Linked DNA regions of Oryctolagus cuniculus. The protein of the gene in region 2 interacts with the protein of the main gene of each other region in a pairwise test. Links are inferred from orthologs where the notes say so. Each region holds a gene or a part of one and is shown on either strand. Other genes may lie near its edges.

Region 1 (4,302 bases), on a different chromosome or scaffold from region 2:
CCCTCATTTCTTTCTTAAATGTCTTTTTTTTTTTTTGACAGGCAGAGTTAGAAAGAGAGACAGAGAGAAAGGTCTTCCTTCCATTGGTTCACCCCCTAAATGGCTGCTACGGCCGGCACTGTGCTGATCCGAAGCCAGGAGCCAGGTGCTCCCTCCCAGTCTCCCATGTGGGTGCAGGGCCCAAGCACTTGGGCCATCCTCCACTGACTTCCCGGGCCACAGCAGAGAGCTGGCCTGGAAGAGGAGCAGCTGGGACAGAATCCAGAGCCCCAACCGGGACTAGAACCCAGGATGCCGGCGCCACAGAAGGAGAATTAGCCAAGTGAGCCATGGTGCCAGCCTCTTAAATGTATTTCATTCAAAGTTCAAACGAAAGGAGCAGGTCTCTAACTCTGAGGCTCCAGGCCTTACAGGCACAAGGAAAACAGACCCACACCCTCCTGTGCCCGCAGCTGTTTTACTGTAGAGAAAATGCTTACATCACCTTCCAATTAAAATCCATCCCACAGTGACCGAGTGGGGGCCTTCCACGTGCCAGGCACTGCTCGAGGCACAGTGTGCCTTCAGAGGCAGTACACTGGGAGGGAGCACAGCCGGAGGAGTGGCTGCACATAGGGCTCCTCTTCCTGCAGTCACGCCTCATGCCCAAGCCGCCTCCCCAGAACACTGGCCAAAGCTTCTCTCTTTGCTGCTTTGTTACCCACTTTCTTCCACCCCCTCCCCTCCCCAAAGGCTCACCATGCCCACCACTGTCACCTCTTCCACCAAGTCTTCTCTGCCATGCTGCTGCCACTCTCCCTTCTGAAGACCTGAAACACTGGGTTCCTGTCAGCCTAGACTCAGGTCGAAGTGTCCCAGCGTGCACTCTACCCTCGCCACACCACATTGCGTCCAGTTCCACAAACAAGCCATGTTCTTTACACATGCCTTTCCCACCACCCCAAAACCTCGCCCCTCGCTCTAAACCTGCCTTTGGCCTCACGATACTTTATTCTTTATGTATCCTGAACTATTTCTTTGGCGAGTGTCTGCTCTGAGAATGGCACCCAAAAAGGTATGGGCAATGCAGCTCTGAATGAAACGTCCAAGCCCCTGTTCTTGTGGAACTCCTGTATTCCAGTAGCAGAAGACACTAACTAAGCTAGCAAACTTAGCATGAGACAGCGATGAGAGCCACCGCCTCTCCTCCCTTTGCTGCATCCTCATCGTCCTGTCTCTACATGCTGAACTGCTCTATCCACACCCACTCCCTAGGTGGTCTCATCCCATAAGCAAGGTCTTAAGAAACTATATTTGCTTCAAAATAACGGCGGAAGGCAAGTAATACAGCTGAAACCAGATTAACCATAGTTGGCAATTACTGGAGCCAGGGATGAGGGCATGGGGCTCATTACGTAATTTTCCCTGTTTCTGTGAGCACTTGAAACTTCATTGAAAAAAGGGGAAATGAACAGAAATAAAGGAACATGTATGTGTAGAATAATACATACGCCACATTTTATCTACAACCCCAGCCCCTCTCCTGAACTACAAATTCACACAGTCAACAATTTGGCTAACTGCAATTTCTAATGCAGCTGTGCAAAACAAAACTCTTACTTTTATTTATTTTTAAAGATTTATTTATTTGAAAGGCAGAGTCAGAGAGAGAGAGAGAGAGATATCTTCCATCCTCTGATTCACTCCCCCAAATGGCCACAATGGCCAGGGTTGGGCCAGGCTGGAGCCAGGGGTCAGGAGCTTCTTCCGGGTCTCCCACATGAGTGCAGGGGCCTAAGCACTTGAGCCATCCTGTGCTGCGTTCCCAGGCCATTAGCAGGGAGCTGGATTGGAAGAGGAGCAACCGGGACTCCAACTGGCGTCCATGTGGGATGCCAGCACTGCAGGCGGCAGCTTTACCCACTATGCCACAGTACCGATCTCAGTAAATAAATCTTTTTTTTTTTTTTAATTCAGTGTCTGGCACAGAGAAGGTATTAGATGTTTACCAATACTTCTAGAACAAAATAAAACAGCAGTTAGGTAACGAGGGGAGGTCGCACAAAGGACCTGATGCCTGAGCTGGGACCTCAGCCCAGAGGAGCCCGAACTGCAGACTGAGGAGCGGAGACTTCCAGGGAGAGGAAACAGATTCTAAAATGTTAAAGGGCTTGATTTACTGGAAGGAGCAGTTAGAACAGTGGATGAGGGCAGAACTGTACAAACCACGACAGAAGGTTTGCAATGGAAAGTCACTGGAGTTTAAACAAAGGCGTCACAAGGTCTGATTCTGGATTCTCTTTCAAAGTAGAGCTGGCACGCTCCCCGGACGGTGCCATTTACAGGCTGAGGGCGGAACCGGTGAAGCCCGGGGGGGTGAAATCTCAGATGGCCACGGCCAAGGCAGCAGAGACGTTCGTACAGTGTGCACGTAAAGATGTATCCAATAACCATCGAGAGCGCGACCACAGGGCCCTCATCCGCTCCTCCTCAGACAACTCACAGAGGGGAGAGGTAAGAGGACGGCCGGCGCACACAGAGCCCCGCAGGCCCGCGTCAGGGCCCGCCCTCCCGTCCCCGGGCCCCGCTCGTGCGGCACCGCCTCGCACGCCGCCCGGCCCCTCCTCCCGCCCACCTTCCCCGAGGCCACAAAAGCCGGGCAGTGGCAGGGAGAGGGAGCGGAGCACGTACCCGCCGGTCCTGCTCCTTTCTTAGCTCCTTCTCCACCCGGTGCCTCCGCCGGGCAAAGGTCACCACGCACCGCCCTCGACCCTACAGACCCCGCCGCGTGGTGCGTAGGAAAGGCCTCTCGGGACGTCACCCCGCTCCGGAAGTCTTCGCGGCCGTGAGCGCAAGGGCCGCCGGGAAAACCACTGAGAGGCCTCCCGCGGGTGGCTGCTAGAGCGGCCTCCTTCAACCACCACGCCTCCGAGTCTGGCCCGCGGCCGCCGGGCTCTGGCTGGCTGACGCGGCGGCTTTTTCTGCTTGGCCCGGAAGGACCCAAAGCGGAAGGCGGGAGAAGGAAGCACCTGGCAGGCGGAGGAGGCTCGAGGGGGCGGTTGCGCGCCAACCAAACGCCCGAGAGGCTCTGGACGCCGGCTCCGCGGGGTCCACCCGGCGGCCTCGCCTCCGTGCGCTTCCGGGAGCCGTCTAGAGCGAGTGCGCCTGCGCGCCGGCCGGTCCGCGCGCCTCGCCGCTGTTCTCGCGCCGGCCGGCGGCCCGACGGTTCGTGCGGCGCTTCCCGCCCGGCGTCTCGGCTCAGGGCTCACTGGCCGGCGGCATGTCGCGGCGGCGGCACAGCGACGAGAACGACGGTGAGTGCGCCCGCGAGGTTTAGCGTCCCGGGTCTCGAGGGGAGGGACGGGAATCCCGCCTTCCCCGGCAGCGTTTGGGGGAGCCAAGGAGGGAGGCGCCGCGCGGGGCAGCCGGCCGGCTTCTGGAAAGCGAACGCGCCCCTTCCGCCCTTGCTCCCCGTTCCCTTTGTCGTGAGGAAGGGAGCCCGGGCGATCCCCGTGGGCAGAGGCGTCTGCTCTCCAGGGGCTGTAAAAAGTTTAGACCTGCGCCGCCTGCAGGGATCCTTGACAGAGCCCCAGGGGTCCTGGGGTTTGGCTTCAGCCCGCAAAGCTGCGCCTGGGCTGAGCTCTCGGAGGACTTGGCGCAAGGAAAGGAACAAAGGCGTGTTGTGAATTGCGTTCCGCACCCCCTGCCCCGTCCGCCCTCCCTGTGAAGGGGTAGGAAAAGAACTCGGGCTCCCGCACACCCACAGGGACACGTGGTGCTGCGTTGGGTAGACGATTAGAGTCCTAGCTGGAGAGCTCTCAGGCCCGGGTGCCCGCGTCCTTTCCCGACGGCTTGTGCTCAGGGAGACCACGCTGTTGCCATCATGCAAACGAAATGGTCTTGCTACTGCCAACAGGAAAAGATGTGTGGGTTAGACGCGAGCGTGACGGTCCGTCCGGAACACACACGGGTGAAACTCGAGCGATTCTGGTGTTGCTGTTTTCAGTGCGTTCTTCCTGGAGGACGGAGTATCCTAGCGGTTGGGCTTCAGGATCGGGGACCCGAGGGTTTAGGTTCAGAGCAGACCCGGCCCTCCATTTCGTGGGCTTGCTCAGGTCGTGTCACCTTCCAGAAGCTTAGCCTGGGATAGGACAGCGGTGGTGCTGGTTCTTGGGAGGGTTGAGGGAGATGGCACACACAACCAGAGGTTCAAGGGGATGCTCGTTAATTCCATCATCTGTTAATGCCTAAGATGTAATAAATACGGAAGGAAAGCCAAGTCGAATGCAGCGTCTCCACTAACGTATTTGTCTCCTGGAGTGC
Region 2 (3,510 bases):
GTACCCTGTTTTTGCAAATAAAGTTTTACTGGAACACAGCCAAAATAAATTGTTATCCTTATTCCAAGAGCCACATAAAACCATTAAAATGTTTTAAATGGAGGCAGGGGTAGACTATATTTTTTTATTTATTCTTTTTTTAAAAATATTTATTTGAAAGTCAGAGTTACAGAGAGAGAGAGGAGGAGGAGAGGCAGAGAGAGGTCTTCCATCTGCTGGTTCACTCCCCAACTGGCCACAATGGCTGGAGCTACACCTGAAGCCAGGAGCTTCCTCCGGGTCTCCCACAAGGGTACAGGGGCCCAAGGATTTGGCCATCTTCTACTGCTTTCCCAGGATACAGCAGAGAGCTAGATCAGAAGTGGAGCAGCCGGAACTCCAACCGGTGCCCATATGGGTTGCCAACACTGCAAGCGGCGGCTTTACCCGCTACACCACGGTGCCGGCCCCTTTATTTATCCCATTAAGATTTATTTATTTAATTGAAAGAGAGAAGAGTAAGACAGAGAGAGAGAAAGAGCTCAGTCTACTGGTTCACTCCCTAACAGCCCACAACAGCCAGGGCTGGGAGCCAGAAACTCCATCAGTTTCCCATGAGGGTAGCCGGAACCCAAGTACTTGGACCATGATTTGCTACCTCCCAGGCGCATTAGTAAAAAGCTGGATCTAAAGTGTAGAATAGCTGGGACTCAAGCAGGCACTCCAATATGAGATGCAGGAATTCCCAACAGTAAATTAACTCACTTTGACACAATGCCTACCCCAGGGAATAACATGTATCTTAAAAGATCATTTTGGGAGCTGGCATTGTAGCACAGCAGGTTAAGTCACCATCTGCAATGCCAGCATCCCCTATCAGCACAAGTTCAAGTCTTGGCTGCTTCACTGCCTATCCAGTTCCCTGCTAATATGCCTAGGAAACCAATGGAAGATGTCCCAAGTACTTGGGATCCTGTCACACACCTGAGAAACCTACATAAGCTGTTGGCTTTGGCCTAGCCCAGCTCCGACGATTGCCATCAGTTTAGAAGTGAACCTCTCTCCCTGTCTTTATCTTTGCCTTTCAAATAAATAAATACATCTTTAAAAAAAAAAAAAAAAAAAAAAGATAATTCTGGCTAAAGCGGAGGAAGACTGAGGGGGAAAAGTACAGTTAGAGCTAATACAAGACCAGTCAGGAAGATATTCCTGAAGCCCAAATTTAGACTTTTGTAGTAGGATGGTGGTGATGGATTTCATTAAATGGAATGGATAGGGCCTGCACCATGGCTCACTAGGCTAATCCTCTGGCTGTTGCGCTGGCAACCAGGGTTCTAGTCCCGGTTGGGACGCCGGATTCTGTCCCGGTTGCTCCTCTTCCAGTCCAGCTCTCTGCTGTGGCCTGGGAAGGCAGTGGAGGATGGCCCAAGTGCTTGAGCCCTGCACCCGCATGGGAGACCAGGAGGAAGCACCTGGCTCCTGGCTTCGGATCAGTGCAGCACTAGCCATGGCGGCCATTAGGGGAGTGAACCAATAGAAGGAAGACCTTTCTCTCTGTCTATAACTCTCTCTCTGTCTCTCTCTTTCTCACTGTCTAACTCTGCCTGTCAAAAAAATAAATGGAATGGATAAGATTCAAGAGCTATTCAGAAGATACCTGTTAGTGATTCAATGTGTATACCTATGTGAGATGTAAGGGATGACATTCATGTGTAAGGCTTTTATAGCAACCACTAACATAGGACATTGGAAGATGACCACTTTTGAGGTGGAAAGAAGCATGATCACAGTAAGATTATGGTTTGGGGTATATTCTCTTTGAAATGCTTTTTCAATACCATTCTCCACTGAAGGAACTCCTTGGCAAAAATTGATGACTTTAGGTCTGAGGCCAAGATAAGTACAAATCTGAACACTTGGTTATGTCACAAAGAAGTGCTCAGAAAAAAATGAGAACATTCCAAAAGGACACAGAAGACAGTTGTAAAGGCTTGCACTGGTCAAATATGGATCGGTTTGATGCCAGTAATGGACTATAAAACAATGGATATAAGAATCCATGAAACTTTTTAAATAAAGGGCAAGAAAAGTTCTTATTTATAATCAAATGTCAATATGACAAATAGAAAAATGATTATCACTGTCTCTCCCTCTCTTTGACTCTGCCTTTCAACTAAGTATTTTTTAAAAATTTCCTACTAGAAAATTTTTTTAAAAGATTTATTTATTTACTTGAAAGGCAGAGTTACAGAATGGGAGAGACAGTGGGAGAGAAGGAGAGAAGTCTTCCACGCTGGGTTCACTCCCCAAATGGCTGCAACGGTTGGAGCTGAGCCAATCTGAAGTTGGGAACTTCTTCCGGGTCTCCCACGTGGGTGCAGGGGCCCAAGGACTTGGGCCATCCTCTGCTGCTTTCCCAGGCGCACTAGCAGGGAACTGGATCGGAAGTGGAGCAACCAGGACTTGAACCAGTGCTCATATTTGATGCTGGAGCTGCAGGCAGAGGCTTAACCTACTATGCCAGAGTGTCAGCCCCTAGACATATTTTTTTACACTTGACAAACAGGCCCATCTTTTGGCAGTCTCACCAATATAGAGTTACGTATTTTTTTTTTAATCTTAGTATTGTTTCATGTTAGTTTCATAATATTCTAAATATTCTAAATAAAAATTCTAGAGTTTTCCAGTTAGTTTGCTTATATTTAGCAATTTTTAAGTTAACTACAAATGAAAAGACAGAGTAAAAATTTGTTTCATAAAATTTTCAAATGAAGAAAGAAAAATCACAGCATTAGGTCACTTTACATTTTAGGGGCGAGTATTTAACATAGCAGTTAAGTTGCTGGTTAAGATGCCTGTATCCCATATTGGAGTGCCTGGGTTTGAGTCCTAGCTCTGCTCCTGATTCCAGGTTCCTGGTAATGCACACTCTTGAAAGCAGTAAGTGATGACTCAAGCCACCCAAGTAAGAAACCTGGACTGAGATCCCAAATCCCAGCTTCGAACTGGCCAACCTTGGCTGTTAAGGACATTGGGGAATGAACCAGTAGATGGGAGGATTCTGTCTATTCTGTCTCTCTGCCTCTCAAATTAATAAACAAAAAAAAATGTTTAAATAGTTTTATATAGGATCCCTGCTAACGATTATGAACTGTACCTACTAATGAAATATAGAAGGGTAGCTCTAATACAAATGCTAAGAAAATTTTATTGTACACTATAGAAATCAGAAGTAGAATGAAGGATTACTTTAGTCTGCTAACAACAGATGATCATGAATAGGAAATAAAGCATGCTATGTTCATTGTATTCATGAAGATGTCTGTGACTGTACTTACAACAAAGGTCTACGTTCTTGTCCAAATTCTGCTTCATAGTAACCATCTCTGCAGTCTTTTCCAACTAAATCATGAGGATGTGGCTTATATGGGTCATTTTTTGTAACTAATGTAATTCTCACTTTTCCTTTTCCATAATAGTTGATAATCTGAAAAAGGGGGGAAGATACATATAATCTATTAATATATGTCA

The links. The genes of interacting proteins can lie anywhere in the genome.
Region 1: the proteins of REL (region 2) and TSTD2 interact in binary tests that used the Homo sapiens proteins (3 or more experiments, as listed by UniProt). The two-hybrid records come from large-scale screens. The link is inferred for Oryctolagus cuniculus from reciprocal best matches to the Homo sapiens genes REL and TSTD2.

What each region holds. Positions count from the first base shown.
Region 1 is NC_091432.1:201,428,550-201,432,851, forward strand, and holds the start of TSTD2 (thiosulfate sulfurtransferase/rhodanese-like domain-containing protein 2), read right to left. Parts: upstream 2,811-4,302; 5' UTR 2,671-2,810; intron 1-2,670. Other genes in the region: NCBP1 (nuclear cap-binding protein subunit 1), read left to right, coding at 3,260-3,293.
Region 2 is NC_091433.1:141,807,256-141,810,765, forward strand, and holds part of REL (proto-oncogene c-Rel), read right to left. Parts: intron 3,467-3,510; coding exon 3,318-3,466; intron 1-3,317. UniProt on the Homo sapiens protein: Proto-oncogene that may play a role in differentiation and lymphopoiesis.